Struthio camelus: one gene and its partners. The protein of the gene in region 3 binds, or shares a complex with, the protein of the main gene of each other region. Links are inferred from orthologs where the notes say so. Each region holds a gene or a part of one and is shown on either strand. Other genes may lie near its edges. The genes, in order: CCNC, MED23, MED25 and MED21.

The links.
Region 1: MED25 (region 3) and CCNC share a complex: the UniProt entries of both Homo sapiens proteins name them as parts of the mediator complex. The link is inferred for Struthio camelus from reciprocal best matches to the Homo sapiens genes MED25 and CCNC.
Region 2: MED25 (region 3) and MED23 share a complex: the UniProt entries of both Homo sapiens proteins name them as parts of the mediator complex. The link is inferred for Struthio camelus from reciprocal best matches to the Homo sapiens genes MED25 and MED23.
Region 4: MED25 (region 3) and MED21 share a complex: the UniProt entries of both Homo sapiens proteins name them as parts of the mediator complex. The link is inferred for Struthio camelus from reciprocal best matches to the Homo sapiens genes MED25 and MED21.

The regions. Positions count from the first base shown.
Region 1 is NC_090944.1:54,823,384-54,831,104, forward strand, and holds the start of CCNC (cyclin-C), read right to left. Parts: upstream 3,006-7,721; 5' UTR 2,824-3,005; coding exon 2,792-2,823; exon of another isoform or gene 2,788-2,791; intron 2,006-2,787; coding exon 1,899-2,005; intron 1-1,898. UniProt on the Homo sapiens protein: Component of the Mediator complex, a coactivator involved in regulated gene transcription of nearly all RNA polymerase II-dependent genes.
Region 2 is NC_090944.1:71,468,287-71,475,463, forward strand, and holds the start of MED23 (mediator of RNA polymerase II transcription subunit 23), read right to left. Parts: upstream 3,015-7,177; 5' UTR 2,977-3,014; coding exon 2,908-2,976; exon of another isoform or gene 2,743-2,907; intron 868-2,742; coding exon 836-867; intron 727-835; coding exon 639-726; intron 1-638. UniProt on the Homo sapiens protein: Required for transcriptional activation subsequent to the assembly of the pre-initiation complex. Component of the Mediator complex, a coactivator involved in the regulated transcription of nearly all RNA polymerase II-dependent genes.
Region 3 is NW_027182651.1:76,224-83,811, forward strand, and holds the start of MED25 (mediator of RNA polymerase II transcription subunit 25), read left to right. Parts: upstream 1-4,570; 5' UTR 4,571-4,690; intron 4,691-6,239; 5' UTR 6,240-6,253; coding exon 6,254-6,381; intron 6,382-7,270; coding exon 7,271-7,316; intron 7,317-7,588. Other genes in the region: FUZ (protein fuzzy homolog), read right to left, coding at 338-406, 1,689-1,773, 2,517-2,638, 3,507-3,605. UniProt on the Homo sapiens protein: Component of the Mediator complex, a coactivator involved in the regulated transcription of nearly all RNA polymerase II-dependent genes.
Region 4 is NC_090942.1:77,129,166-77,136,428, reverse strand, and holds the start of MED21 (mediator of RNA polymerase II transcription subunit 21), read right to left. Parts: upstream 3,002-7,263; 5' UTR 2,963-3,001; coding exon 2,921-2,962; intron 2,601-2,920; coding exon 2,486-2,600; intron 564-2,485; coding exon 463-563; intron 1-462. Other genes in the region: TM7SF3 (transmembrane 7 superfamily member 3), read left to right, coding at 6,458-6,542. UniProt on the Homo sapiens protein: Component of the Mediator complex, a coactivator involved in the regulated transcription of nearly all RNA polymerase II-dependent genes.

The DNA of each region.
Region 1 (7,721 bases), on a different chromosome or scaffold from region 3:
TTACAAAATAAAGGGTTTCAGATTTTTTTTTAAAAAACGTTGCTTTAAATTCAAATGTTTTTTGAGTAGCCTGTAACACAAACATTACGACTCCTGCACTCAGTCAAAAAGGGAAATCAATTAATTGGCTTTTCAGCCAAAACCTCTATTAAAAACTCTGTGATCCAAACAGAAAAGTCAGCATGAATTTCCTCCTTTGAACTATTTCAGAAGATGACAATTTTCCTTCTCTACAGTTTTAACAGTTCAAGTAGTCGTATATAGTCATACAACCAGTCGGTGACCTACAGCAACCATTTTCAAATGCGGACAAAGCAGGAAGCTGCTTTTCTCCAGGTAATTTCCTGGTTGCTTTGGGGAGAGACTGTCTCCTGGAGGCAGACGCAGGTTGAACGTGGCAAGCCACGGTCATAGCTAATGCAGGGGTGGGAGAAAAGAGGGAAAAAAGCTCTTTACGTTCAAAGCCGAGTGCTGAATTTGGGGGCAGGTGGCGAGATATAACACATATTGAGGGCTCGAGCAAAGCAAGCACTGCATGAGCTCCCACTGCTACACAGGAGCTCCAGGCTGTCCCCTCCGTGAAGGTGCCTCTCTCTGCCACAGAAGGGTTGACAGCCCAGTGCCACTCTCTCCTCCAGGGTATGCTGTGTTGGTCCACGCACAAGGGAGATGCTCGCAGAGCTATGCTCCAGCTGCCACGGGCCATGCAATGTACCCTCAGGAGAGGCAAGGAGTGCCAGAGGAAAAGGAGCTTGTCAACCACAAAGTGAAACCGACTCGTCTACTTTCTAAACCTTTGTTTACTCAATAAAAATACTGAAATGAAACATGAAAAATGGCAAAAGGTATTTTATGTTTCATAATTCAAATTAATACTAGTGAAAATTAACATAGAAATATCATTTAAGAACTGTCACTATCCCATTTATTCTTTTGGCATTATGAAGCTAAGATACCTTGTTTTATCCTCAATAAACTTCAGAAATCAATCAAATAGATAAATCATTGGTTGCTTGATTTTCTGGTGCTGTACAAGTGAACACAGACCTAAAAACAGTGATCAGATTTGCATCATACTTGATCATTACAAAAAAAGCTAAGCTAAGAGAGAGGCTGGGATAAGTATTTTTCAGTTATAATCCATCACCAACATAAGATCTTTCAATAGCCTTGGGAAAGCCACTTAACTTTTCTGCCTCAAGTATGTTTGACCAATCTGATTTCCGCCAATAAAGCTATTCATATGGTCAAATGGTTTCTAGGACCTAGTCTCAGATAACTGCGCAGAGACAAGCCCGAAACTCTCTAGGAGAACAGGCTGCTGACAGCTCTCAGTCTTGTAGAAAGTATCCAGCCACTTGAGAGCCACTGAGTGCTGGGGAACCAGTCATGAGGCCACAGGCTGTGGAGCGGGTTTCAAAGAGCGTAACTGAACACAACTGACAAGTTTGCAAGCTATTTAGCAAGACTCCATGGACCAGCTAAAACACTATGACTTAAGAGCTCATCAAAAAAGCTCAAGGCCCACAGTTTGAGTACTACTGCTTAACACAGTGTCTCCAATTTGCTACTTCAGTAGTTTCTGTTGGCTTCCTCTCCTTTTATTTTTTTCATAAGAGCCTCTTGGAAATAAAAAAATCTACTATTTGTCCTCTCATAAATTAGAAAAAAAAGACATACGCAGCTAATTCATCTATAAATTATCCTAAAGATGCATTAATACAACTAATCTGAATGACAACGCTATTGATATTCCAGCCCTTCATTAAAATATGTTAGGAAAACATATGTAATACAACAATGAAAACATTGCATTCTCTAAGCAGTTAAAACTTGCACGAAGACACGGCAAATACTATATAGATTACATGGCTGAACTAAAAATAAAACAGTTTTACCATTAGTAAAAAATATCTGTAGTTTCCAATATTCTTCTTCAGTAAGAAATTTCAAGTCTTTTTGGCGTTCCTTCAATAGATCTTGTTTATCCAAAATCCATTGTAAACTAAAGAGAGAGAAAATAATTTTAGCAACTCTTTATGAACATCATATTAAGCATCGCCTGTACAAACGACAACAGACTACAGCTTAGGCCTAAAGGGCACGCGGCCTTTAAACAAACCGTGTACGTTCTTCCCAAGCAAATACTCACTAGCTTTTCCCAAGGTAGATATCCAAAAAAAAAAAAAAAAAAACACTAGCAGGGACCAAGAAGATCACTCCTTACCCGCAGCAAACTAAACCGCAACACAGTGAACGGCATTAAGACGTGCGCTACCAATCACTTGTGAATTTTAAGCTATATTTAGTGCACCTCGGGCATCCATTCAAAACTCAACCTACCCAGCACAAGGCACCTTGCCACAGCGCAACCCTGGCCGCCCTAGCGCTGCAGACAGACACCGGCCCGCAAGACCTCGGCGCTCCTCGCTCGCAGCAGCGGGGGCCGCGCACTGGGCACCAGGCCCACGCGGACACAAACGCTGCTTCTGCGGGGCACGGGTGGCCTCCTCCGCGCCCCGAAGAGGCCCCAGATACGGCAAAAGGCCCTCCCGAGCCATTTAAACGGCCCTATTTCTACTGATTGCTATGGCCATTACCCTCCTTAAATTATTCACCGCTATTATACTAGCCCTCTCGGCAGCGATACACCCCGGTTTGCGTGGGCGCTCAGCACCGCCCGGCCCCGCACTCCCCTACGCCCCGGCCCCGGCCCCGGCCGCGGCGAACAAAGCCGGCCCGGCGCAGCCGCCCGCCCGGCCCGCAGCCCCCCAGCGGCCCGGTTACCCACTAGTGCGAGCTCTGCCAGAAGTTCCCGGCCATGAGGAGGAGGAGGAGAGCGGAGGCGCCCCGGGCCCGCGATCCCGCCGGCCCCGCCGCGCCGCGCCGCCTCCCCCGCGCCGGCAGCAGGAAGGAGGCGGCCGCCGCCGCCGCCGCCGCCGCCGCCGACCGGCAACACGCGGCGCAGGGAAGCCGTTCCCCTGCACGCAGGTTCCGCCCGGCCGCGGCAGGGCCCCGGGCGCCAGCGGCGTTGGCCTTGGCGGCGGCCCGGCGCCCTGCCTGCCCCCCGGCCCGCCTCGGGGGAGGGGGCCGCCGCCGCCCGCCCTGCCCCGCCGCTGCCCCTCGCCCGCGCCGCCTCCTCCCGGCGGCGCCGAGCCCTGGTTGCTGACGGGCGGCGGCGGGATTTGGGGCCTGTGAGGAGCCACCGTCGTGACCTTCATTGCCAAAATGCACTTATTCACCGTTTGGTTGCATGTGTCATCTTCTGCGCTGTCACGAAACTACCAAGCCGGGGGTGGGGGGAGGAGGGGAGAGTCTTCACCAGATGGCAAGGCCCAAACGTTCGTCCTCGCCATCACCCCTAAGGACCCTTCCCAGCCAAGCAAAGCCCCGACCAAGGTGCTCTTTCCTCAGGTTTTCCCCCTTCTTCCTCCCCACATGGAGAGGCTGCAGACAGCGGGAAGGCGCCCCGCGCCCCGCGCGCGTTGCTGGAAGGCGACCCCAAGGCGAGGAGGCGCCCCGCGCCACCGGGGCTCGGCCCGGCCGGCGGCCCCTGGCCCAGGCTTCGTCTCCGCCGACCGGCCCAAGTCGCCGAGGCTCTTGGCCCCGCCGATTCCCCCAAGAATGAAGAAAACCTACCGAGGCAAAAAGCGTCCGTTGTAAAGAAACTCCCGGTTTCATTCTCTGGTGTTTTAGAACTTGATTATTCGTCTTTTAACGGCAGGACTTCTATTACAAGGGAGCCTGCTCCCCAACCAATCCTTGATGCAAATCACCGCTTATGGCACTCTGAAGACTTGCAGTGTGGGGAGCAATTCTCCAGAGACAATACGTCCATTATAATTGATTTTACAGTTACACGTAGTTGCATTCTGGTGGCTTAGCCTTGAAAAGTGAGCCTCTGAAATAGCATTGCGCTAGCCTGTATTTATTGTTTCTTAATAACTTACCTCTCCTGTGCCAGATTCACAGTTGCACAAAAGTTTCTGTTGCTGCTCTAGCAATAAAAAATACCATACAGTTTGCCTAAATGGGGAGGGAATAATAGTCAGGTAAGGTTTGAATCTACAGCGCGCTGGCTAATTCCATGCTAACTCGCTCTGCGGAGACTCTTAAAAGGCTGTTGGTCAATGGCCAGTTTATACAGAATACATTCCAGATTCAGTATTGCAAACACTTACATCTTCAGGATGGCACAAGCAACGACGTTGTTAGTAAAATTCAGAGGTACCGTTTATACAAAGAAAGAATGCTATTTCTGTGGAAAGCAGAGGAGCACAGCCATTATGTAACACTGGAGAGCGCCAAAATGGATACTCAGAGGTACCTATTTACGTGATGTGTGAAACAGAACAATGCGAGTTTCTTTGCGTTTCCTACACCATCCTTGACAAAATTCTCCATCTTTATTTTGACATATAGTTCAACGCTGCTAATGACTAGATATGGAGTCTCTGTTTTGAAATTCAGTAGAATCACCGCACCTTGCTTTCAAAAACGGCTTAGTGGAACCAAAATGCATTCTGTCACAATTAAATACTTAGCAAGCATCCCTTGATATGGCGTGGTTGCCTCACGGCACATTCTGGACGCGAAAGATTTACTTTGCCTAAAAAGGGTTTACCCTGCATACCTTAGTTTGTGATGCTCTAACTTCCCCAGATAGACAAGTCACTGAAAGGGTGGCAGTAGCTCTTTGAAATTCTTCCTTTTAAAAAAAACGCTTTCCTGCATGGTGTTCTTGTGGTGTCTGGATTCTGTACTAGTCTGCTCCCAATTTCTCGTGTGTCTAGAGATGGACATTATAAAGGTTGGTCCAGACAGTGCCGGCAGTGCATTACTGGCCCTTGTTTCTGTTCGCACAAGCTCAGAGGGTATGCTGAAAAGGACAGCACGTGCTGGAATAACCCTGAACCTTCTTTAATTTATTTTAAAGGCTAAGCAAACTCTTGTGTGACAGCAGGGTATGATCATAAAAGACAGCTTGTTACCATTTGACTGCTTCTGTCCTAAAAATGGGAAAACTGAAAGAACAGAACCCTCACCTACTCAGTTTAAGCATGGTGGGTTTTCCAGTTTTAGAAACTAGCTAGTTTTGCACATAAGCTTCTTTCTGTGCATAACTACAGTCCGTGGTCAGGCACTTGAAAGAAGTCCTGTGCTTTAGAGGACTGAGCCCTCTCTCATAAGACAGTGTTTCTTGAATTGGCTTGGTGCTACAGATCCTATTTGACAGTAACTGATAAGTAATAGCTGCACTTTGAAATAGCAGGTTAAATAAAACTGCTTTATGGATGATAAGTAAATAACTAAAGCCACTTATTTCTCTTGTGTTGTCCCCACTGCACTTAAATTTCCCTTTATCTTACCCATTCCCAGAGTTGCAGGACTCTGCTTGCTCTGTGCTGGGGAGCAGCTATGCAGGCAAACGTCTGAAGTCGTTTAGGGAGAATCTGGGCCTAAATCCTTTGCTTCCTTTTCATGTTCTTTATTGTGATGATACATGAAACAGGGCTCCCCACTTTTAAATGGGATCTGAGATGTCCTCTGCTGTATACAGTTGGGAAGACAGCATCAAACCAGGAGTTGTAGATCCCTGTACCTACATAACAGCACAAAGAGGGTGGAGGATAAGGTCCGAGAGAGAGGGAGGGCGGATGCCTCTCCGTTTCTTCAAGCAGTACTACCACTAGGGGAAGTATACCTGATTTTTGCAGTGAGACCAGTGAAAAAACTGCCTATTTATAACGGCTGAAGGGAACGTAGCTGAATACCAGTAGAATCAGCAGAAGCACACAGCCACCTAGGGACCCAGAATAAGGTTGCTGTGACTCATGCTGTTACAGTCCAAGTATCTATATTTCTATCACACTTTTCCTAAAAGCTAGCTCAAAATTTCTGTGTGTGTTTGGGGGCGGGGAGGCGGGAAGAACATAAGGAAAGAGGTCATTAACACTTGGGTTGTGACAAGTTTCAGACATTTTTAGAGTAGTGACATAGCACAAGGCAAGGTGGTAGGACGCTGTGAATACAGGAGTGCTATACGTTGACTCACAGACTGAGGCATGTGAAAAGGAGAGCTTGAAACTTGGTCAGCGACAGCAGTCGAGGGTCTATAGGTAAACAAAAGGGTTAGCCAATGCTGGCATGCTGTGTGGAAAAGCTGCTGGAGGACTACCAAGATATTTTATAGTTTACTGGTAGCTTTGATGTTAAATTGCTGTTAGTTTATAATGAATTTATAAATCAAGTCCGAGGAATTAAATCTCTCGGACACCTCACCATCTGCACAGATCAATGAGGTTGTACAGCAGTTAACCAGTCCTGTACACAAATTCAAGATTACCTGGCAATAACGGTCGCAGGGTTGATTTTCATACTGCTTATGCCAATTCAGTACAGGGGCAATTCCATTAACTTCAGTGACTGTGTGGTCCCGGTGTAAACTGGGGCAACGTGAGCTCCCTCTTCCTCTGTGTGTCAGCCGTGCCAAGGTCCGAAGCACGCAGGAGGGTCGACAGCCATGGGCCGGACCCCATAGCGCTCGCCGCCTGGGACTATGCCCCGGCCCCGGAAGGGTTAAGTAAGTCACTCCTGAATGCCTTGCCCACTTCCATACCCTCCACTGCAAAATCAACATCTAACTTAGTTATCCCTGATGGAGACTCTTACAAGGCAGAATCTAGATCCAGCATTTTGGAGGTTATTTCCTTTCCCTCCTAATATAGAGGCATATATGTATGCATACACTCTTATACATAGATGAGCAAGCATATGTATTTATTCATCCTGCAAGCCTAATTGTCAGGGCTGAATGTGGGTCGGAAAAAGGCTGCCGAGCCACTAGACAGAAAGACAGCTGGCAGCTGGCAACCCTCCCGGGAGAGCTGCTGCCTCATGGCCTTCCCATTCCCCCGGGAGCCGCAGCCGGTGGCTCAGGCCAATTCCTGCACCCACAAAAGTTAGCAGAGTTTCTGTCGCTGGTCACAGTGGGAGCAAGAAGCGCTCCTACAGGGCACTGCCTTGGCAAGGTGAAGTAACTCCTGGCTTATCCTGTGAGGAAGACTGTGCTCGGTGCTCATGGTTGTCAAGACCTGCGAGCACATGCAGACTATTTTTGCTTGGTCTGACAAAACCAATTTGTTCTAAGATGTAAGCATGCCTTGGCTGTCTGCAAGCAGTGTACTGTGTGAAGAGCAGGCCACTTGCTCCCTAGGGGTCCTCCTCAGAGTGGGCAAACTCTCTCCGGCTCCGTCCACCACTTCAGACATCTCCCTCAGCTGCATCTGTCTGAACTGAGAGGCTGTTTTCAGAGCCACAAGTAAAGATCTCTGCAAGGCAGCCAACAAAGCCATCACCAATAATGAAGGAAAAGGCTCCATTCAGCAGAATTTAGCGTAGGAATTGTGAACGTATTCAATGAGCAAATCATTGAAAGTATAACAACTGTAGTTCCTTTCTAGGCATCTCTTGGTATATGTGCATATATATGTGCATATATATGTGTGTGTGTATGTGTGTGTGTCTCTCTCTTTCTCTCTCTATATATGGCATTGTGCTAGGCAAAGGTGTGCCTAGAGGGATGTAAGTATATAAGTGTGTATATCCGTATGTACACACATATATAGGCATACATACATGTGTAGGGGGACCTGAATGCTATCTTGATGCTGTCATGAAAGAGATGCTCTGTGAATCTCTCTCTCTCTCTGTCCCTGCAG
Region 2 (7,177 bases), on a different chromosome or scaffold from region 3:
GAGGAGTCCAACTCCCTAACATCCAGTTTTCCACAAGTCTTTTGATCTTATTTTAATAGGACATCTGAAATAATTCCTTCTGAAGTCACACCTCATAGCTGAAATGAGGATTTTTCGAGTCAGTTTTGTTTTTCACATGTAAATTTTTCAGCACAGAGTAGAATAAAATAGACCTCTATTCTGCATTATTCCTTCCTTTTCACAGTTATAATCAAATTCACTGAAAATGAGGATGACCAGGTCTCCAACTACAAGAAGAATGCCTACAGGTATCTAATTTTTGGAAGGCAAACTTTACATATAAACAGTGTTTTTCATTAAACATATCTGTTTTCTACATTCACCTCTACCAGAAATTCTATGAAAAATTACCTTTTTTTAAAAAAATGACTGTTCTACTTCCATTCGGTTATCTTTATAAGGACTGCATAGCAACATTTTCTAAGCAGCTATATAATCTTATTGATGTAAAAAACCTTTTTTCTTGCAAAGTCTTTTTATATTCTATATTGTGCCACATCTGAAATCAGATTCTGAGTGACAGGAAACGGACTTTATAGGTTAAGTGCTTGTCTACCAGACAAGGTGCTGCCACATTATAAAAGTGCATCTATACAGACAACAAATTAAAAGGTAACCTGGGAAAGACTGCTCCAGAACTGTCTAAAAGCACCCAAGCAGCTGATCAGTTTGGTTCTCTCATCTTCAGGAGTGTCCATAAACATACTAATGCAAATGAGAACATTAGTTATTAGCAGTTCACCAACAAAAGAGCACAAGTAGAAAATATAATTACACAGAAAATCATGCATAAATAAACTGTCATTATACTTACCCAGGGAAAGCTTCCTCAATTACTTCTGTTTTCTGTAAGAGAAAAACCCTCAGTGAGCCTATTGTGAAAAGATCTGTTGGGAGTGCTGTGCCACCAGGATAAAGCACTAGAGAGTAACAGTTCTACTGTTACGGGGCTGTATCAGAAGGCCTTGAGGCAGATTTATGTTTTTGCTAGGCTTGACTCTTTAGAAGTTGAAACTGCTTTGTTTTTATGTAACATTTTGAGGTTCTACATTAAGGCTCTTTCTTCTTTTCTTTTAAAAACCTAAAAATTAATTATATCCCAATATTGGAGAAATTATTCAATTGTGTAATTGTGGCTTGTCTTTCATATTTTAAGGAATGAAACCTATTCTGAATAGGATTCAGATGTGGATAGGATTAAATTTTTTGTCTCAGTTATGTTCTGTCACACTGGGTTACATAAACCAATTATGCAGAGAGTTGCTTCCCCTTCTTAGTTTAGATCCATTGCTTTTTAAATTTCTATTTAATGATCATAAGGTCTTGTCCTGTGAGAAAGACTATATACAAACACCTAATTTACCTCCTCTATAACATTCATTTTTATATGCCATTTTGCTCAAAGGTTTCTACATCATTATTCTAATTTATCAAAAAAGAGCTCTGGAAAACACTACTCTATAGGTTTTTTTGCCTTCTTTAGGCATTCTGTATTATACTGCGATGTGATGTCTATAACCCACACATATTTTCATCCTTACGTGCTAGAGGTAACAACAAGTAATAAAACAATCTTTCCAGTGATTCTTCTCAGTTGTAAAGCCTCAAACTAACTGCCTCTGCTACTTATAGCTTTCTCAAGAAGCAAAAGGGAACCTGATACTAATCTGTTCTGCACAGAAAGTTAAGTGAGTTTCACTATTGTCTGCAAAGCTGGTAACAGCAACAGTGAAAGTTACAACTTCCTATGTTCTCAGTTATGGCTTTAAAAAAGCCGGGAACACAAGAGAGGTGTTCAGTATCACCAACAGTCACATTTAGATTCAATAGTTAATCATTTTACCTGACTAGGGTAATAAACATAATCTCAAACCAGAATAAATAAAACAAAACAACCCCATCAGCCTCTCAGAAGAGGCAATGAAAGTTTTTCAGGGACTTTTTTTGTTGCTGTTCGAGACAATCACAAACAGTGACAACATAGTCAAATTACAAAGTTAAACACGTGAAAGCATAATCTGAATGACAGTGCCCAAAAAACTCATCAAGTATGGGCAACTTAACATTATAAATTGCATGATATCCTTCTCTATAAAGGATAGAACATATATGCAAAAGAAAAAGAAGAAACACAGCCTTTCATCTATTGAAATTAAACTTTTGGACTTTGTTATCAGTTCAGTCTTGTCTAGCAGGCCTACACATTTATTGTTCAAATATAGCCAGTTCCACCAGATTTTCTTGTCTTAGTCAGTTTGAAGCTCCCATTCAAGTACTTATAAGCTACTGACAGGCCAGGGCTTCTGACCATAACACTACTAGCCACCAAGTACTCAAATCTACCAAAAATTGCCAGTGGGATCACCTGCCTGATTCATAGTACTACTCATTTTCCTCTTCTCTACTCCACTGCTGGCTAGTCTTGCCCCTCCCAAGCACCACTGTACTAGACACAAACTTGTAGTAACGTGCTACTCAGACATTTTAGCTATTTATAGTATACAAAACGATGACTTCTCGATCTGCTGGACCATGCTTTGTGTTGTTGGTGCCACTGTGAGGCTCATTTCCAGGATTCCCTCAAGTCATTCCATTTATTTAAGAAAAGCACCTTCTCAAGACACTCATTTTCTCATAGTCTCTTCTTAATGCCAACTTAAACCACGCTTATTTTAAAGCGAATTCAACACGTCATAGTTCGGCTTTGGGTAAGCAACCTACCTCCCACCTATATCATGCCCGATTCTACCCTGTGTCGGACTCGGGCACACTATAAAGACACACCAGGCGAGAAATGTGTGCTTCAAGAAACTCTCTCCCTCTACGGCTCCGCAGGGCACATCTCGCGACGGGCCCGACAGCACGAGCACGACGGCGGCGACTCACCGCGCAGAGGTGAGGACACAGCGACTGCATCAACGCAAACACCGCGACGCTGGAGACCTGTTTTTCCATGTTTTACACCCGGCAAGATGCACCGCCCCTAGGGGGCCCGACACGCCCCGCCCGGGGGCCCGCGCCGGGCCGGGCCGGGCCGCGCAGGGGGCCGCAGGGCCTCACGGGCTCCCGCCCGTCGGGCCGGCAGCTGCGGACACCCCTCTCCGCCCTCCCCCGCGCCTGGGCCGGGCCACGACAACGCCGGCGGCCCGCGCCCCTCCTCCCCGCTGGCGGCAGGCCGGCGGCGGACTCACCACCACCTCCTCGAAGATGCTCTGTAGCTGGGTCTCCATGGGCACCATGGGGATCGCCATGGCGGCGCCGCCGCCGCCCGAGCCGGACCGCGCCGAGCCGGGCGGCGCAGCCCACGGCCGCGGCCTTTGTCAGGCGGGACGGCGGCGCAGCCTCCCCTCCCCCGCGCCGGAAGCTCCGTGCCCAAACCCTTCCCCTTCCCCCCCCCCCCCCGGAAACCGACTTCTCGGCGAGGCGGTTCCGGCGGCGAAAGCGTTCCGCCCCCTCCCCCCTCAGCTTCCTGCGGCGCGGAAGGGGGCGCGAGGGCGGATAACGGCCGCCGCGGCCGTTGGGGGCGGCGGCTGCGGGGCCTATCTGCGGCCCAGATGGCGTGGACGAGGCTGGCCGGGGCCGGGCCGGGCCCGCCCGCCCGTGGGGAGGCGCAGCGCTCCGCCCGTAGGCGGCGGCCGGGGCGTCCGAACCCGTCAGGCAGCTCCGGCCTTTCGCGTCCAGCTGGCGCCTGCAGCCTCGTTGCAACACCGGCTGTCCCAGCAGCTTTCCTAACAGGCCTTGGCTGCCCAAACCCTTTAAAACCACTTCCCGAACTTAAACCTCCTCCGGGCTCAACGTTTCAGGCCCACGCCAGGCCGCTGATGGGGCTTCAGTGCTGCGTCCAACTGCGTTTGGCAGTACCCATGTATTGGGTCTGTATGGCAAGCGGCCAGCGTGGCTTTGTGACCCGCGTGCTTTTATTTTATTTTGTTTTATTTATCAGAAGAGAAATTACTGTAAGCACTGGAGATGTCATGGCTGCTGAGGAAGTGAAAAGACAGCTCAGTGTGGGCATATATACTGCTGCCTCTTCCATTTTGTAGGAACAGCTGCACGCACCCCCCCCCCCCATCCTCTCTGAGTCTTTGCAGAATCTAAAAAGAGAATAAGAGAATGAGGAATAAAAGAAAGAGGGAAGAGGGGATTGTAAAGCCATGTAGTTGCAGAAGAGGGAAGAAATACCACAGTAAATTCCATGCAAATTTTTTACTTAGGCTTCTTTGGTTTTAGAATAACTTGACAAAATACACGTTGTGGTCCTTCCTTTCAGTAAGGAGCCCTTACATTATTACAGGACAGTAGTTTGCTGTAATTAATATAAAGTCAGAATTACTCATTCCCATTAAAAAAGTTAGAATAAACTCAAAAGGTTTTTATTTGAAAGTGTTTGATAATACATCGTATATATGTAGTGCGTTTTAGATTAAAAATAAATGTAATTACCAAAGCAAAATATTTTTAAAATCTTGTAGCTCTTTGACGTTGTATTTTCTGACCTCTCTGTCTATGACCATTTTGACTGCGTAGTCTCCTGAAACAGCACTGAACCTGAATTCAGCTAGCACTGATAACTAGATACAGGCTTATGTCTACAGCAGAATAAAACTAATCTTCCCAAATTCTAGCTGATACTTGAAGGCCTCAGAGCAGTGAGAAATGAAAATTTCCAGATTTGAATTGAGTGGAATATAGCAGGATGTACCCACAGACCAAAACCTCACATTGAATTGGATAAATTATTTATTCTAAATGTAAACAGCTTTGGTGTAAACAGTCCCAGAAGAATAGATAATGTAAGCACTGAGATGTTATAAATAAATTTTAAAAATAAAAATTTTCAGGAAATTGTGCTATGAGTGGCACCAGGAATTACACTGCTAGCAGAGATGCATGTTGTAGCCAATAGTAATATGCATAACTGAATCAATTAGTGTATTATTGTCTGTAATGGGAAATACCAGGTTGGGAAACAAACTGTGTGTGCTTGTAAGCTTTTTACCTACATATACGTAAAATGAATGATCACTGGAAACAGAGAAAGGATCTGATTGAAGGTCCCTTTACACTTGTTTGTATCACTTTTGTAATTGGATTGCCAGCTGGCCTTAACAGAAAAACACGTATTCTGGTAAGAACTGTCATTCCTTACACTCACTCTGTGCTTATTTAAAGTGTGTTGCACAGAGATCTGACGTGCACTTGGATGTCACTGCAACTTCCAGACACAGCACTTGCCCACACGGGACGGACTGGATCGTTATTTATCAAAATAGCAACATTCAGAACAGTGTATGCTCTTAATTCTCTGCCAAATTGTCTGTCCATTCCCCCAAATGACTCGTAATGGAGCCCTGAAGGTGCTGTTTTACTTAGCATTATATCTTATCTTGGGGACCAATCTACTATTCTTACTTTCATCTGCATTAGTATTAGGTCACACTCACAGACCACAACCATTTTTAACCATGCCTTAGGCTCTGGTTAGGATCTGATCACTGAGGTAGGACCGAGGCTCTGAGACGCTACCTAGTCAGACCTAAGTAATGATGGTCCTGCTATGTCTGAGGGAACCGAATATCAAAGAGAAGAAACAGTACAGATCTTAAGCACTGAGGTGACTCTTAGGTGCCTCTGCCAAGCAATGAAGCCCTGTCAAACTGTGTTTATTAGATAACGTAAAGCCTTAGGCCTGACCAGACAAGGAAGATCAAGAAACTTTTACGTGAGAAAGAAATGACCCTCTTAATCCAGAGAGAGAAAAGAAAATATACATTTCAAAATGATTATAAAAAAATTGAGCAAACATTCTGACAAGCAACGTTGTACAATTGCTTCACAAGTATAACAAGGAAGTTATTCATCCACTCCAGCTATTGGGTTAGTCTTTAATTTAAATGTTCCTCTGGCTAATTGATACAGTATCACTTCTTTTTCCGAGCAAAACTAGCATTCATTTATTCAACAACCAACACCTCATTTTTGGCATCTAAGTGGACTTTAATTAATTGATTTTTATTATCATTCTGACCTTTTATATTAATAAAATTAATCTGTAGGCAGCAGTAAAGCATACTGGTATGTTTCAGAACATCAGATAAGACTATTTGGCATTTTTTGGATATGAAACCAGTTCATCTTGTGCTCCCTTCCAAGATCTCCGCCTTTTAAATGCAAGCTTTTGAATTTTCCTTTTGATTGAAACCAATCCAAAATAGGTTCAGTAAGTATTGTCTATGAGACAGGGTACTGAACTGTTTGAATGTTGTAACGACATCATTCTGCACAGACCGCACATTTTTTGGGACTGTGCCGTATCCTACACATATTTAATATAATAAGTGAAAGCAGCAGGTAAGTCACAGGTAAAACTGTGTAGGCTAGAGCCTTAGTGAAATTGCCACAGTTCCCTGTGTGTTAAGTTGTATGATCCAGAAATGGAACATGGCAATTTCATCTGCTGTTTTATGATACCACAGACTTCAAATGCTGTTGTGGAATGTAAGATGTACGAAGTCTTTAAGTCAGGATTTTTACTGAAATAAAATAATTTGGCCTTCAAGAGAATTCATGAAAGATGCAAAGTGCGTGTGGAATAACGAGTATCTCTCTGTATACAGCCTAGTTGGTATTTCAGTCCTTTATTCAGGCAGAAAACCAATCACCATTTGTTTAAGAATGGTAAACATTTATGCGAGAAATGGTTAAGATTTCTTTCCTTTCTTGTGTGAGTTCCATTCCTTTTGGAAGAGGGATAACAAAAGAATATGAAGGTGCCTTTTAATTTATGAGGAGGATACCTGAAGCCTATCTGGTTCTTGATGGTCTTCAAACACTTTCAGTTGCTGTAATTTATGTTTAGTAGCTTAAAACGACAGGAAGTATAGTGGAAATTGAAACTGGCTACAACACAGTGCTACATTAGGTCTTTCTACTTGTTTCCCCAAACTGCAGATTAACACATATATGACAGCGATGTCCTGCCTGTGTTGTTCTAAATAGTTTTCCTGTTTCTGAGCATGCCAGATTTACCGAGGACTGCGATTTGGACTGTAAGTAGGGCAAGGGATGCATCTGTTCCCTAGACCTGCGTTTGCATAGTATGCCAGACTCTACGCGGAGCAGTCACTTAAATTCACAGTTCAGTGACTGAAAAAGC
Region 3 (7,588 bases):
TTTGCCCCCCCAGACCCCCCTTTTGCCCCCCCAGGCCCCCATTTACCCCCCCAGACCCCCATTTGCCCCCCCAGACCCCCCTTTTGCCCCCCCAGGCCCCCATTTACCCCCCCAGACCCCCATTTGCCCCCCCAGACCCCCCTTTTGCCCCCCCAGGCCCCCTATTTACCCCCCATAGTTGCCCCCCACCCCATATTTGCCCCCCGACCCCCCTTTATTTGCCCTCCCCCGGGCCCCCAGCCCCATAATTGCCCCCCCAGCCCCATATTTGCCCCCCCAGCCCCATAACTGCCCCCCCAGCCCCATAGTTGCCCCCCCGGTGCCCCCCCCCCCGCACCCGCAGGTCCCGCTTGAGCCGCTCCACGTTGCGGACGGGCACCAGCTCCTCCAGGCCCAGCACCAGCACCTGCGCGGGGGGCACTGGGAGCGACTGGGAGCGACTGGGAGGGGCACTGGGGGGCACTGCGGGGAACTGGGGGGCACTGGGGGGCACTGGGAGCGACTGGGAGGCACTGGGGGGGCACTGGGGGGTACTGGAAGGGGCACTGGGGGGCACTGGGAGTGACTTGGGGCACTGGGAGGCACTGGGGGCGCACTAGGGGGTACTGGAAGGGGCACTGGGGGAACTGGGAGTGACTTGGGGCACTGCAGGGCACTGGGAGGCACTGGGAGGCACTGGGGGGTCCTAGGAGCAACTCGGGGCACTGGGAGCCACTGGGGGGGCACTGGGAGGGATTGGGGAATACTGGGGGGGCACTGGGGGGAACTGGGGACACTGGGAGGCACTGGGGGGCAGTGGGGGGCACTGGGAGGAACTGGGGGGCACTGGGAGGCAATGGGGGGCACTGGGGGGCACTGGGAACACTGGGGGGCACTGGGGGAACTGGGGGAACTGGGAGGAACTGGGGACACTGGGAGGCACTGGGGGGGGCACTGGGGGGAACTGGGTGCACTGGGAACACTGGGGGGCACTGGGAGGGATTGGGGAATACTGGGGGGGGCACTGGGGGGAACTGGGGACACTGGGAGGCACTGGGGGGCAGTGGGGGGCACTGGGAGGAACTGGGGGGCACTGGGAGGCAATGGGGGGCACTGGGAACACTGGGGGGCACTGGGGGAACTGGGGGAACTGGGAGGAACTGGGGACACTGGGAGGCACTGGGGGGTACTGGGGGGCACTGGGTGCACTGGGGGAACTGGGGGGCACTGGGGGGAACTGGGTGCACTGGGGGGCACTGGGAGGAACCGGGGTGTACTGGGGTGCACTGGGGGGCACTGGGGGAACTGGGGGGAACTGGGGGGAACTGGGAGGCACTGGGGGGCACTGGGAGGAACCGGGGTGTACTGGGGGGCACTGGGTGCACTGGGGGGCACTGGGGGAACTGGGGGGAACTGGGAGGCACTGGGGGGCACTGGGAGGAACCGGGGTGTACTGGGGGGCACTGGGTGCACTGGGGGGCACTGGGGGAACTGGGGGGAACTGGGAGGCAGTGGGGGGCACTGGGAGGAACCGGGGTGTACTGGGGGGCACTGGGTGCACTGGGGGGCACTGGGAGGAACCAGGGTGTACTGGGGGGCACTGGGTGCACTGGGGGGAACTGGGAGGCAGTGGGGGGCACTGGGGGCACTGGGGGGAACTGGGAGGCACTGGGGGCACTGGGGGCACTGGGGGGCACTGGGCCGCTCACCATGGCGCTGAAGACGGCGTCGAGGAGCCGCCCCAGAGCCGCCTCGGAGGCGCCGGGCTCGGAGCTCAGGGCGATCAGCGTCACGCTGTGGGGCGCCCCCCGGCGTCACCCCCGGCGTCACCCCCGGTGTCACCCCACGGTGTCACCCGCCCCGGCGTCACCCCCCGGCGTCACCCCCAGTGTCACCCCCCGGTGTCACCCGCCCCCCGGCGTCACGGAGCTCAGGGCGATCAGCGTCACGCTGTGGGGCGCCCCACGGCGTCACCCCCGGTGTCACCCCTGGTGTCACCCGGCCCTTGGCGTCACCCCCACCGTCACCCGCCCCATGGTGTCACCCGCCCCGGCGTCACCCCCCGGCGTCACCCGCCCCCCGGCGTCACGGAGCTCAGGGTGATCAGCGTCACGCTGTGGGGCGCCCCACGGCATCACCCCCGGTGTCACCCGCCCCACGGTGTCACCCACCAGCGTCACCCGCCCCACGGCATCACCCACTGGCATCACCCACCCCATAGACCCCCCCCCAGATCCTCTCAAGCCAGATCCTCAGCTCCCCCCAGCCCCCCAACCTGCCCCTCAACCCACCATGGCAGCCCCCCAACTTGCCCCCCAGCCCCCCAACCTGCCCCCCCCGGTCCCCCAACCAGCCCTCCAGCCCGTCCCCCCCAGCCCCCCAGGCTGCTCCCCCGGCCCCCCAATCTGCTGCCCGGCCCCCCAACCTGCCCTCCAGCCCCCCAACCTGCTCCCCCAGCCCCCCAACCTGCCCTCCAGCCCCCCAACCTGCTCCCCCAGCCCCCCAACGTGCCCCCCCAGCCCCCCCAGCCCCCCGACCTGTCGTGGTAGCCCCGCCAGGCCACGCGGGCGCCCTCGGCGCTGGCCCCCCGCAGCCCCACGGCCAGGTTGGCCCCGAACATGTGCACGCCGTTGAGGGAGCCGATGAGCGAGAAGGGCAGCTGGGGGGGGGGGGGGGGGCGGGGTCAGCGCCCGGACGCCTGGGCCCCCCCGGACACCTGGGCCCCGACCTGGACACCTGGGCCCCTCCCGGACACCTGGGTCCCTCCCGGACGCCTGGGCCCCTCCCGGACACCTGGGTTCCTCCCGGACACCTGGGCCCCTCCCGGACACCTGGGTCCCTCCCGGACACCTGGGTCCCTCCCCGGACACCTGGGCCCCTCCCCGGACACCTGGGCCCCCCCAGACACCTGGGTCCCTCCCCAGACGCCTGGGCCCCCCCGGACGCCTGGGTCCCTCCCGGACGCCTGGGCCCCTCCTGGACACCTGGGTCCCTCCCCGATGCCTGGGCCCCTCCCGGACACCTGGGTCCCCCCCGGACACCTGGGTCCCTCCCCGATGCCTGGGCCCCTCCCGGACACCTGGGCCCCTCCCCGATGCCTGGGCCCCTCCCGGACACCTGGGTCCCTCCCGGACGCCTGGGCCCCTTCCCAGACGCCTGGGTCCCCCTGGATGCCTGGGTCCCTCCTGGACACCTGGGTCCCCCCCGGACACCTGGGTCCCTCCCCGATGCCTGGGCCCCTCCCGGACACCTGGGTCCCTCCCCGATGCCTGGGCCCCTCCCGGACACCTGGGCTCCCCCCGGATGCCTGGGTCCCTCCCGGACGCCTGGGCCCCTTCCCAGACGCCTGGGTCCCCCTGGATGCCTGGGTCCCTCCCGGACACCTGGGCCCCTCCCGGACGCCTGGGCCCCTCCCAGCTGCCTGGGCCCCTCCCGGACACCTGGGCCCCCGGATAGCTGGGTCCATCCCTGGACACCTGGGCCCCTCCCGGACGCCTGGGCCCCCCGGGGGGGGCGGAGCTCCTCACCTGTTGCCGGGCGGGGCCGCCCCGGGAGCGGCAGAAGAGGGGCACCCCGCTGCTGGCCGCCAGGCAGAGCAGGGACAGGGCCCCGCCCCCCTCTGCCATGGCCCCGCCCCCTCTCGCCCGAGCCCCGCCCTCTCCACCAGGCCCCGCCCCTCCCCTCAGGCCCTCTTTGCCTGGCTCCACCCCCTCAAGGCCCTGCCCTCCCCTACAAGCCCCGCCCCAATGCCCCACCCTGTCAGGCTCCGCCCTCCCCTACAAGCCCCACCCCTAAGGCACCGCCCTGTCAGGCTCCACCCTCCTCTATAGGCCCCACCCAATTCCCCACCCTGTCAGGCTCCGCCCTCCCCTACAGGCCCCGCCCCAATGCCCCACCCTGTCAGGCTCCACCCTCCCCTACAAGCCCCACCCCTAAGGCACTGCCCTGTCAGGCTCCACCCTCCTCTATAGGCCCCACCCAATTCCCCACCCTGTCAGGCTCCGCCCTCCCCTACAGGCCCCGCCCCAATGCCCCACCCTGTCAGGCTCCACCCTCCCCTACAAGCCCCACCCCTAAGGCACTGCCCTGTCAGGCTCCACCCTCCTCTATAGGCCCCACCCAATTCCCCACCCTGTCAGGCTCCGCCCTCCCCTACAGGCCCCGCCCCAATGCCCCACCCTGTCAGGCTCCACCCTCCCCTACAAGCCCCACCCCTAAGGCACTGCCCTGTCAGGCTCCACCCTCCTCTATAGGCCCCACCCAATTCCCCACCCTGTCAGACTCCGCCCTCCCCTACAGGCCCCGCCCCAGACCCCTCAGGCCCCGCCTATCCCTCAGGCTCCGCCCCCTCAGGCCCCACCCCCTCCAGCCCGGCCCTGTCACTCAGGCCGTACCCGGCCCCCTTCCCCCCTCCTCCCCCCACTGCCGCTGAGGCCCCGCCCCCGCGCCCCGCCCCCGCTCTTGGCCCCGCCCCCGGTGCCGGTGCCGGTGCCGGTGCCGCCGCTCAGGCCCCGCCGGCCGCCGCCATGTCCGGCGCGCTGGCGCCGCGCGGCGCCTGCCGGGAGCGAAGCGGTTGCCGCGGCGACGGCGGGGGAGGCGGGGCCAGGGCTCGCCCCGCCCCTCCCTCCCCGCGCATGCGCGGCGGCGGCGGGCGGACCGGAAGGGGAGCAGTTCCGGCAGCCGCCGGCTCGCGCCGAAGAGGAAGTGGACGGTACGGTGGCCGGCGGGGGGGGTCTATGGGTGCCGGGGGGGGGTCGAGTCGAGGGGGTCTATGGGTGCCGGGGGGGTCTAGAGGGGTTGAGGGGGCCCATGGGTGCTTGGGGGGGTCTAGAGGGGTTGAGGGGGGTCTATGGGTGCCGGGGGGGTCTAGAGGGGTCTAGGGGACCCATGGGTGCTTGGGGGGGGTCTGTGGGGGTTGAGGGGGCCCATGGGTGCCGGGGGGGTCTAGAGGGGTTGAGGGGGGTCTATGGGTGCCGGGGGGGTCTAGCAGGGTCTAGGGGGCCCATGGGTGCTTGGGGGGGTCTAGAGGGGTTGAGGGGGGTCTATGGGTGCCGGGGGGGTCTAGAGGGGTCTAGGGGGCCCATGGGTGCTTGGGGGGAGTCTGTGGGGGTTGAGGGGGGTCTATGGGTGCCGGGGGGGTCTGTGGGGGTTGAGGGGGCCCATGGGTGCTTGGGGGGTCTAGGGGGGTTGAGGGGGCTCATGGGTGCTTGGGGGGGGGTCTGTGGGGGTTGAGGGGGCCCATGGGTGCCGGGGGGGCCGAGGGGGTCTGTGGGTGCCAGGGGTGGTTGAGAGGGTCTATGGGTGCCGGGTGGGGTCGAGGGGGGCCCATGGGTGCTGAGTGGCTATATGGGGGTCGAGGGGGTCTGTGGGTGCCCGCTGGGGTTGAGGGGGGGCTTATGGGGATCTATAGGTGCCAGGGGAGGTCAAAGGGGTCCTATGGGTGCTGGGGGGGGTCTGTGGGGGTTGAGGGGGCCCATGGGTGCTGGGGGGGGGTTCTATGGGGGGTTGAGGGGGCCCATGGGTGCCGGGGGGGTTCTTTGGGGGGGTTGAGGGGGTCCATGGGTGCCGGGGGGGTTCTATGGGGGCTGAGGGGGTCTTTGGGTGCCCACTGGGGTCGAGGGGGGGGTTATGGGGATCTATAGGTACTAGGGGAGGTCAAAGGGGTCCTATGGGTGCCAGGGGGGGGTCTGTGGGGGTGGAAGAGTCTATGGATGCCGGGGGGGGGTCAAGGGGGACCCACGGGTGCTGGCGGGGTCTGTGTGGGTCGAGGGGGTCTATGGGTGCCAGGGAGGGTTCATGGGTGCTAGGGGTGTCGAGGGGGGCCCATTGGGGTCGAGCGGGTGTATAGGTGGAAGGGGGGTCTATGGGCCTTGAGAGGGTCTATAGGTGCTGGGGGGGGGTCCATAGGGGTCTAGGGGGGACTATGGGTGGGGGTTCTATGGGGGTTAAGGGGGTCTATAGGTGCCGGGGGAGTTGGGGGTCCATGGGGGTTGAGGGGCACCTATGGGTGTCGGGGGCACCTATGGGTCCTAGGGGGGTCCCTGGGGGCTGAGGGCGGCTCATGGGTGCTGGGGAGGGTTAAGGGGGCCCCATGGGTGCTGGGGGGGGGAGAGGAGGACTGAGGGGAGTCCATGGGTGCCGGGGCGGGGGGGGCCTCACACGTCAGGCGAGAACTGTGGGTAGAAGAGAGTTTGGGGGGGGGCACGTGGGTGTCGGGGAGGGTCCCATGGGTGCTGTCCTTTTCCCCCCCCCCCCGCCAGCACCCGCGGGGGCCATGGTGGTGCCGGCGCTGGAGCCCCCCCCCGCCATGGTGGCCGACGTGGTGTTCGTGGTGGAGGGCACGGCCAACCTGGGCCCCCACTTCGAGGCCCTGCGCAAGCACTACCTGCTGCCCGCCATCGAGTGAGCCCCCCCCCCCCCCAAAAAACCTGCACCCCCCCCCAACACCCTGGGGACCCCCTCGAAACTTTGGGTGCCCCCCCGAAACCCCGCGGACCCCCCTGAAGTCTCTAGGACCTTCCTAAACTCCGGGAATTGCCCCCAAAACTCTTGCTGCTTCCAGGGGGCTCCAAATTTTGGGGAGCCCCCCCCACAAAAAGCTCGGGGCCACCCCAAATCCCAAGAGATCCCCCCTCTCAAAACCCAGGGGGGGTCCCCAAAGCCCTTTGAGCCCCCCCCAAAACCTTGAGGGCCCCCCAAAAAACCTTGGGGACCCCTCAAAACCTTGTAGGTGCCCCCAACCCCAGGTTTCCCCCCCTTAAACCTTTGGGGCCCCCCCAACTCCTAAAGGATCCATCCAAAATGATGGAAAGTTCCCCAAAACTTGCTTGCATCCCTTGAGGATCCCCCCAAGCCCCCTAGGGACCCCCCAAAACTTCTAAGATTCCCCCCAAACCCTTAGGGACCCCCCAAAACTCCTCAGGGCCGGCCCAAACCCCTGGGGACCTTCTACAACCCCCCCTTGAAACCCCCTCAATTTCTTGGGGATCCTCCCAACATTCTTGGCCCTCCCCACCCTCAGGGCCCCCCAAACCTCAGGGACCCCCCTCAAAAACACCTGGAGCCCCCCCAAACCCCATGATGCCCCCCAAAATCCTCTAGAATCTCCCCCGAACCCCTGAGAACCCCCCCAAACCACTCACCCCCCCGAATATTTGGGGCCCCCCAAACACCAAGGACCCCCCCAAAGTGTCTGGGGATCCCCTTAAACCCTGAGGACCCCCCAAAACCTCCAACACCCAAGGACCCCCCCCAAAAATGGAGGTTCCCCTGCAACCGTCTCCTGCTACAGGTACTTCAACGGGGGACCCCCGGCCGAGACCGACTTCGGGGGTGACGTGAGTAAAGGGGGGGCGAGGGCAGGGATTTGGGGGTGGGGGGTGGTCGGGGACCCCCTCTTGGTGGGGTGTGTCACCCCTGGGACGTGGTGCGTCACCCGCTGGGTGTCCCGGGGTGGGGGGTAGTTTGGGGGTACGCAGTACAGCCTGGTGGTGTTCAACGCGGTGGACTGTGCCCCTGGCTCCCGGTGTCCCCCGCGCCCCTGGAGCGGTGCGTCCCCCCCCGCACGGTGCGTCACCCCCGGGACGCGGTGCGTCACCCGCTGGGTGTC
Region 4 (7,263 bases), on a different chromosome or scaffold from region 3:
ACAGTTAGTAACGTTGTAGGAGAACATAAGGCTTCAATAAAACATTGACTCTGCAGATACAAAACAAAACATCTAATGGGCAGAAGAATATGAAAGGTTATCCAAGAAAAAAAGCCAATGTTGCATCTGCTGTATTAGTATTTGAAAAGCTGGAAAAAAACACATAGCTGCTTAGAATACTGTGATGTTATCAAAAAGCAGATTTTTTTTTGAAACCCTTCTAAGAGAAAAATAAGTTTAAAATATTCACACTGCGTAGAATTTAATTAAGAACTAGATGCAAGAAGCAGGATTTCCAGTGAGCCTACACAGAATTCATCGTCTAACCTCATGAAAAATTCAGGCTTACATTGAAGCCATTTTTCAAAATTACATGGTCTGAAGAGTAAGAAAGTGTGCTGAAAGAAAGCAAGTAAGCTGTCTTCAGTTATGTTTTGATAGTTTAATTAAGAATGCTCTTACCTGCAAAGCAGCTGTCGATTCCTCGCTAGGCAAGGAATCTATTAGAACATCGATATCCTTTGCAGTTCGTGCAATCAGTGCTGCAAACAGTTGGGCGTATTCTTAAAAATAAATAAATAAATATCAGCCTACTCGATACATTATTAGAAATAAGCACAATTCTGCATATGGAGTACAGAATATTAAAAAGATCTGAAGCATTCAAGTGTTAACATTTCTCCTTGCACTGCTTCTTTTAAGAAATGAGAAAATAGCTAGAACTCCATCATGGTTAGCCACTTCAGAAATTACTAGTGAAAGGTATCAAGTGTCCTAGTCGCTACATTAAGTATTCAGAAATAGCTAGCAACTCATTTAACCTTTCAATCTTTGCCTTCAAATCTGCCACTATATATAAGAACACTAGAAATTACATGAAAATAGTAATAGAGATTCAAATGCACAGAGTAAGTTATTATGTCAAGGAACAGACCATTAGTGAAAGAATCTGAGAAGATTTTTTGAAGAAGAAAAAAGATCAGCCAGAGGAAAAGTTAATTGTCACGGAGAAAGGAAAAAGAGACAAGTTTGTAATAGATCTTATTTTGGCTACAAAAATCATATTAAAAGTGCATACAGTTCTTCCAAAGAAGCCCTATAAGGCAGAAAATCACCTTGAGTTTGACTTGGAAGTTCATAACTCTAGCTAAAATATTCAGACATCCCTCCTTAGCTTATAGCTTAAGATCTTACACATTTTATGTTGATTGCTTCCAAAGATCTTTCATGCAGCAAGACAAAATATTTTCTAATGGTAAGATCTATAGCAGAGATTGACATTCTCAGAGGTAGACTTGACTTTAATTAAAAAACAAAACAAAACACATATCATTAAAGCTTGCTCAGTGTCATCCCATATATACTCTTGGCCTGTAAACAAGTGTTCTATATGCTTTTAAGGCCTTCTTATCAAGACTTTAGCTATCTGAAGACATGCAACTAGTAGTTTAGTCTGGTCTGATCAGCATCGCTAACTTGGCTGTACGATTTTACTGAATTCACTTTATTCAGAGCTTCAGGACAAGACAAAACAAAAGATGATCATGGACTATGATTTTAAGACCTTAACAAACCTCTGAGCTCCAAAGTCGTCATGTTGATACTTAGTACCTGGGACAGCAGCTAGTGACGTGAGGAAGCGAGCCAACCTTTCGGCTACCTTCTCCAACTAATTCCCACACCAGAGAGCAAACCAATGAAGGATGAGACAACAGCTGTCCTGAAAAGAGCATCACTGTGCTCCAAACCAGTCTCCCCTGATATCCCAATAGTCAAATCTAATCTGATACAAGATACATGCAAATTTTCTCAGGAAAATACACAGCAGCCAAAAAAGAAATCATCATTTAGCAAAATGCTTTGACCAGAACATCCACAGAAGCATTGAAAGGTACCCAGGATTAGAATAACATGCTTATTTGATTACTAACTTTAAATTCTCAGATTGAGGAGAGAACTGTCTTTTAGTCTGCTTTCCAGTTGCAATGCCATAGATTAGATCCTTTTCTCTCAGCACCACCCCCAACCCCAAATGCCAAGAGGGCGATTTAACAAGGTAGTATTATTTAATCAATTAGATAAGCAGACAACGCCTGAAGAAACACAGGAAAAGTTAAAACTGTAAACGGAAAGTTTTAAACTCATGCATTATTTGATAAAAATTACACTCATTCTCAAAAACAAATTTTCAAAATAACGGACAAGTCAGTAAAAGCATCTCACAGCTGTCCTATTAAAGTCCTATTATATCTGAAGGCTTACTGTATCTGCACAAGAAATGCTTTTCAACACTCAGTTAACACACAAAATTCTTATACAGCACGTGCAGCTGACATCAATTTATGATTTGACCTGAATCACTCCTCCAGTTACTGCTGGAATAATGCTTGCTAAGCACAAAATAGAATACAAATCTTGAATTACTGTGCATACTGTACCAGAGCGTGTTCACCCTGAGCGGGCAGACCCAGAAATAAAGACTTGCCTTCTGTTGGATTAGCAGGCTGATCTTTGTTTATTGCTGTCTGAATGTTGCTGAAAGAGGCAGGGGGGCCACACTGCTGCAACACGCCGATGGCGTTACAGAACTGGTCTGCGAGCTACAGGCAGTAAAGAGAGGGTTAAATTACTTCAGTCTAAAGACATTTCAGGCTTATTTTTCATCCCAGCGGCCCTCAGGCAGCACAGCTGCCCCCCGGGGTTAGGCGGGAGCGCACCCGCAGCCCACGACCGCCAGGGCGAGCGGGGCCGCCGGGGCTCGGGGCCGCCGCCGGCTGTTGCGCCCTGACGGGGGCGGGGGGGGGGAAGCGGGAGGCGCCCCGCTCGCGCCCCCAACGGCCAACAACGGCTGGGCGCGGCGGCGGACAGCAAGGAGGGGGGTGGAGAAGGAAGAAAGCGGCGCCCCCGGCGCGGCACTCACCGAGTTCACCGCGTCCTGCAGCTGCGTTAACCGATCCGCCATAGCGCCGCCGCCGCCGCCGCCACCCCCCCGCCCCCACCTCCCGACAAGGCGCCTGGCAGCCGGCGCAGCCAATGGGACGCCTCGATGTTAGAAGGTGGGCGGGGGAGGGGGCGCCGCCTGGCGCGCCCCCTGCAGGCCGGGAGGAGCCCGGCGCTGCGGCGGGGCAGGGGCCGGGCTGGGGGCGCTGCGGTAAGAACCGGGGCAGCCCGCCTTTCAAAACGGCAGGAAACCACTTTCTTAGGCTTTTTGCTTCCTTGCCTTTGGTGCAGTTTGCAGCTGTTGACCCGCTTGTGCGGAGGCAGGCAGCGCACGCACGCCTGGGCTGTACAGAGACAACGCAGGCGCTTCTGCGGGGCTGCGGCCACAGCCCCAACGTCAAGTAATTACGTTTAGAAAGGTAGGCTCGGACCTTAGCCTGGGCCTTTCCTGCCCGCGGACCCTCGTGCCCGTCCACAGTCCTGCCAGCTTTGTTAGCTTCTGGATAACCACAAGTCTCTTTCTCTTCTGCCCACAATCAGGGTCATAGTTAGGTTAGTCTGAGTTAGTAACTTGAAAGCAAAAATTGGAGTGAATTTTTGTTAAGCTGCCTTCATGGTAAGAATGAGAAGCAGCTCTGCACATATCAGTAATATATCATAACACAAGTGTTACCTATGATGAATGCTTCAGAACAGATGTCTCTAATCTCATGGGATAGCAGCAGCTATAGGGGCATCCAGAGGCTGACTACAACCTTCTAGATAATTTGCATTCAGTTACAAGGGCCTTAGAAAGAACAGGTTCCCAAGGGCAAATCCAGGTATCATTAAGAGTCATGGTGAGCAATATCATTTTATTTTAATGGGACAAGAACTCGGCCCAGAATGTATTATGAGTAGTTCAACAGGGGCAAGTACTGAGACAGAAGAGGAAAAAGCACTATAAAATGTGCTATTCGGTATAGAACTGGCATTTCAAGTCAATTTATTTCTCTCCGAGACACAAGTACATACTCACGTGATATTGTAGTTCGGTAAAAAACTGAATTCTTGTATTATTGACAATAGAAGGCTGGTGAGCCACAAAGTGTACAGCTTTTGCTGTACAACAATCTTTCTGCCTCTGGATAAAGACAGAAGTAGCACTCTGATGGTCCACTCCAGCACTTGAGCTGAGTAGGTGATAATGTCGAGTGACCAGGAGCGGTAAAAAGCCAGGAGTGGTAATATCTTCAACAGTCCAGCTTACATTCAGCAGGAGTTTGCTATACCTGCAGGTTACCAAATAGGAAATACCAATTTGTGCAAGTCAGTACGCTGATATTTAGCTTTGGTCATTGAACAGCTAAAGATAAACTTACAGGATAATGATCCTGTCTGTGATACAAAATCTTCTGATATAGGTATTCCCACAGCATTCTCACTGGGAAGTTCAGGGAGTACGGACTGGATGAGATGGCTGTTAGATGGATTGAAAATCAGCTGGACCGTTGGGCTTCCAAGCTTGTAATCAATGGTTTGATGTCCAGTTGGTGGCTGATAACCAGCGTAGCACCCAGAGGGCCTGAAAGAGTTGGCTGATACTTTTGCTGTGGGAGACGACATCAAAAGCCTTACTGAAGTCTAAGTATTTTTACATTGCTAATCTTTGCTTGTCCACACCCCAGTCATTTAACTGCAGAAGGCAATCAGGTTGTTCAAGAATGTTTGGCCCTTGGTAAATCTTCACTGTCTGTTCCTGATTATCTTGGTGCCCGTCACCCGACTGGAAATGGATCCCAAGGGAAGGAATGTGCTCCTGGAGGTGAGGCTGACTGGCTGGTCTGTAGTTCTTCCTTCTCACCTATCTGAAAGATGGGTATAACGTTAGCTTTTCCCCAGTCAGGGACCTCTGCTGATGACCACGGTTATGGCCTTGGGAGGGCCCAGGTGAACATTAGGAAATCTATTCAGCACGAGGAGGGCAATGCGGCACTGGGACAGGTCCCGCAGAGAGGCTGTGTGCTCTCAGGCCTTCAAGGTCTGTATGACTTGGCTAGATGAAGCCATGGCTGATCTGATCTGGTGTCAGCCATAGTCTAGCTTCAAGTGAGCGGTTTAGCTAGAGACCTCCAGAGGTCTCTTCTGACTAACTTTTCTGAGAAGCTGCGAGTGCAGCCACCCAGCAGCAATGTGTCTGTGGAGGAATCTTCTTGAGGCTCCCCCAGCTACCCTCTTTGCCCCCATATTAACTACTCTGACAAAAGTGTGTTTCTAATAATATGGTCGGGCTTACACCCTTGATTTTGCTGGCCTGCATGCATAAACTAGGATGCGTGTTTTCTTCGCACTCCTTGGTTAAAAAGCCAAGTCACCAAAGCGCTATGTTGTATAGCAAAAAGTACTGCTCATTTTTAAGGGAGTTCCAGCTGTTTTGGAAATGAACGGGCTTTTTTTGGACTTCCACAATTTGAACGGATGCTGGCGTGAGCCTGGAATAAATGAGGCGCGCGGCATGAGACAAGCCTCTCTCAGGCTCTGTTCCTCTGCGACACGGGCAAGTAGTGTGCACGTGGAGCCGTGAACAAAGAACAGCCGAGGTCTCACCGCCGACTCTGACGGACAGTGGCTCAGAGCAAAGCGCTAAACCTAACAGTCTTTCAACGTTACTTATTTTGACCTAAGGAACCTTGTTGGGCAGAAGGAAAAAAAAATCAGTAAACTAGATATCCTTACTGAGACAGGCTGCCTTCCGAAGGACCTTAGGCAAAGGTAGGCAGAAGAGAGTTCACCCATTTGACTGAAATAACTATAGTCTTAAACATGAACCAGTATGCATCTCTTTGTTTGTTGGATGTCAGAATGAGAGCTTTATTTTACATTCTGTTAACTGAAAAATGGATTAAAGCTGGGGAGGGGAGGGGAGGGGAGGGAGGGTGATGGCGCACGGCTTACGCTTGCTCAAGGTTTAGGTTATTGCCTGAATTCATAAACGAGGCGCAGATATTCACGAGAGCAGCTTCGCATTGGCAAGAACTCCAAAGAGCAAGGGCGAGAAGCGGGAAGACTTTGAGTTTGCCTCCCGCTTCCCCTGTCCCGTGCGCATGAATCACGGCCGCAAGCGGAGGCGCCTGGGCCGGCTGCGAGAGCGCTTCCCGTGTGCGGGAGCGCTCCGCAGCACTTGACAAGAGCGCTGCGAAACAAACCGCGGGGACGTTAAGAAAAGAGAGAGGAAAAAAAAAAAGGAGGCTTTAAGAAAAACAGATTCCCCTCCCTCCCCCTCTCCCCAGCCTGGAAGCCTGGCCAAGCAGCAGCGGGCCGGAGGCGGCGGTTGGGCCGGGCAAGATAAAGAGCCGTGGGGGCGGCGGTTAGGACCGTTACCGCGGCCCCCGCGCGCTGGTCCGTGCCGTGCCGCCCCTCCCCCCGCGGCGTCTCCTCACGGCGGGCTCGGGGGCGGGCCGGGCGCCGCGGTGCCTCCCGCCGCCGCCTCCGCCTCTCGCCCGCTCTGAGCCGCCTCTCCGCTTCCCTCCGCAGCGCCATGCGACTGCCGCCTTGCGCCGTGGTGCTCCTGGGGCTCCTGGGGGCCCTGCGCGGCGTTGCTGCTGCGGCCGCCGCCGCCACAGGTGAGGGGGCGCGGCGGGCCACCTCATGGCGGCCGCGGGGGTCCTCTGCGGAGGCGGGTGGGCAGGAGCGGTCGGTGCGCGCCGGGCAGCGGGCGCAGCGCAGCGCAGCGCCGGTGCGAGCGCGGCCGACATGGCGGGGCCGTTGGCCGGGAGGGGAGAGGCCCGGCCCGGCCCTGCCCGGAACTCCTCGCAGCGGCGCCGGGCGCGCTGAGGCAGCGGGGACCTGGCGCTCAGGGTTTGAGCCTAAGCTAAGATCAAAGCAAAGATAGAGCTGCTTGAAGAGCTGAGGGGGGCAGGAGGGGAAAAAGAAAGGTTATCTTAGTCTTTGCTGATGTTGGCATAAAGAGTAGGTAGGGGAGAACTCATTCGACCCTCCCCCCCCTTCCCTTTTTAAGCAAGGAGGAGGGTTGAACAGCTCCACAGTCTCAATTGCTACAAACGCCATCATTTTAACTCTTAAGTAGGTTTGCTTGACTAATTTGTTGCGGTGGGCACCAGGGATGCGGTGGTGCTGATGAGTTTGGAGTATTATGCTCTCTGAAATGAGATAGGGTAGTATTCACTACCTGCAAGTTTATATCTGAAGGAGAGAGAGCTAATTGCTTTTTGTGGACCAGGTACAAGTGGTCCTGGGTTCTGTGCTAACCATGTCTTGAAGAATGTCATCCCTTAAACTTAAGAAAGGCCAAAGCCCCCAGATTCTGGAGCTTGCTTCCTAGGG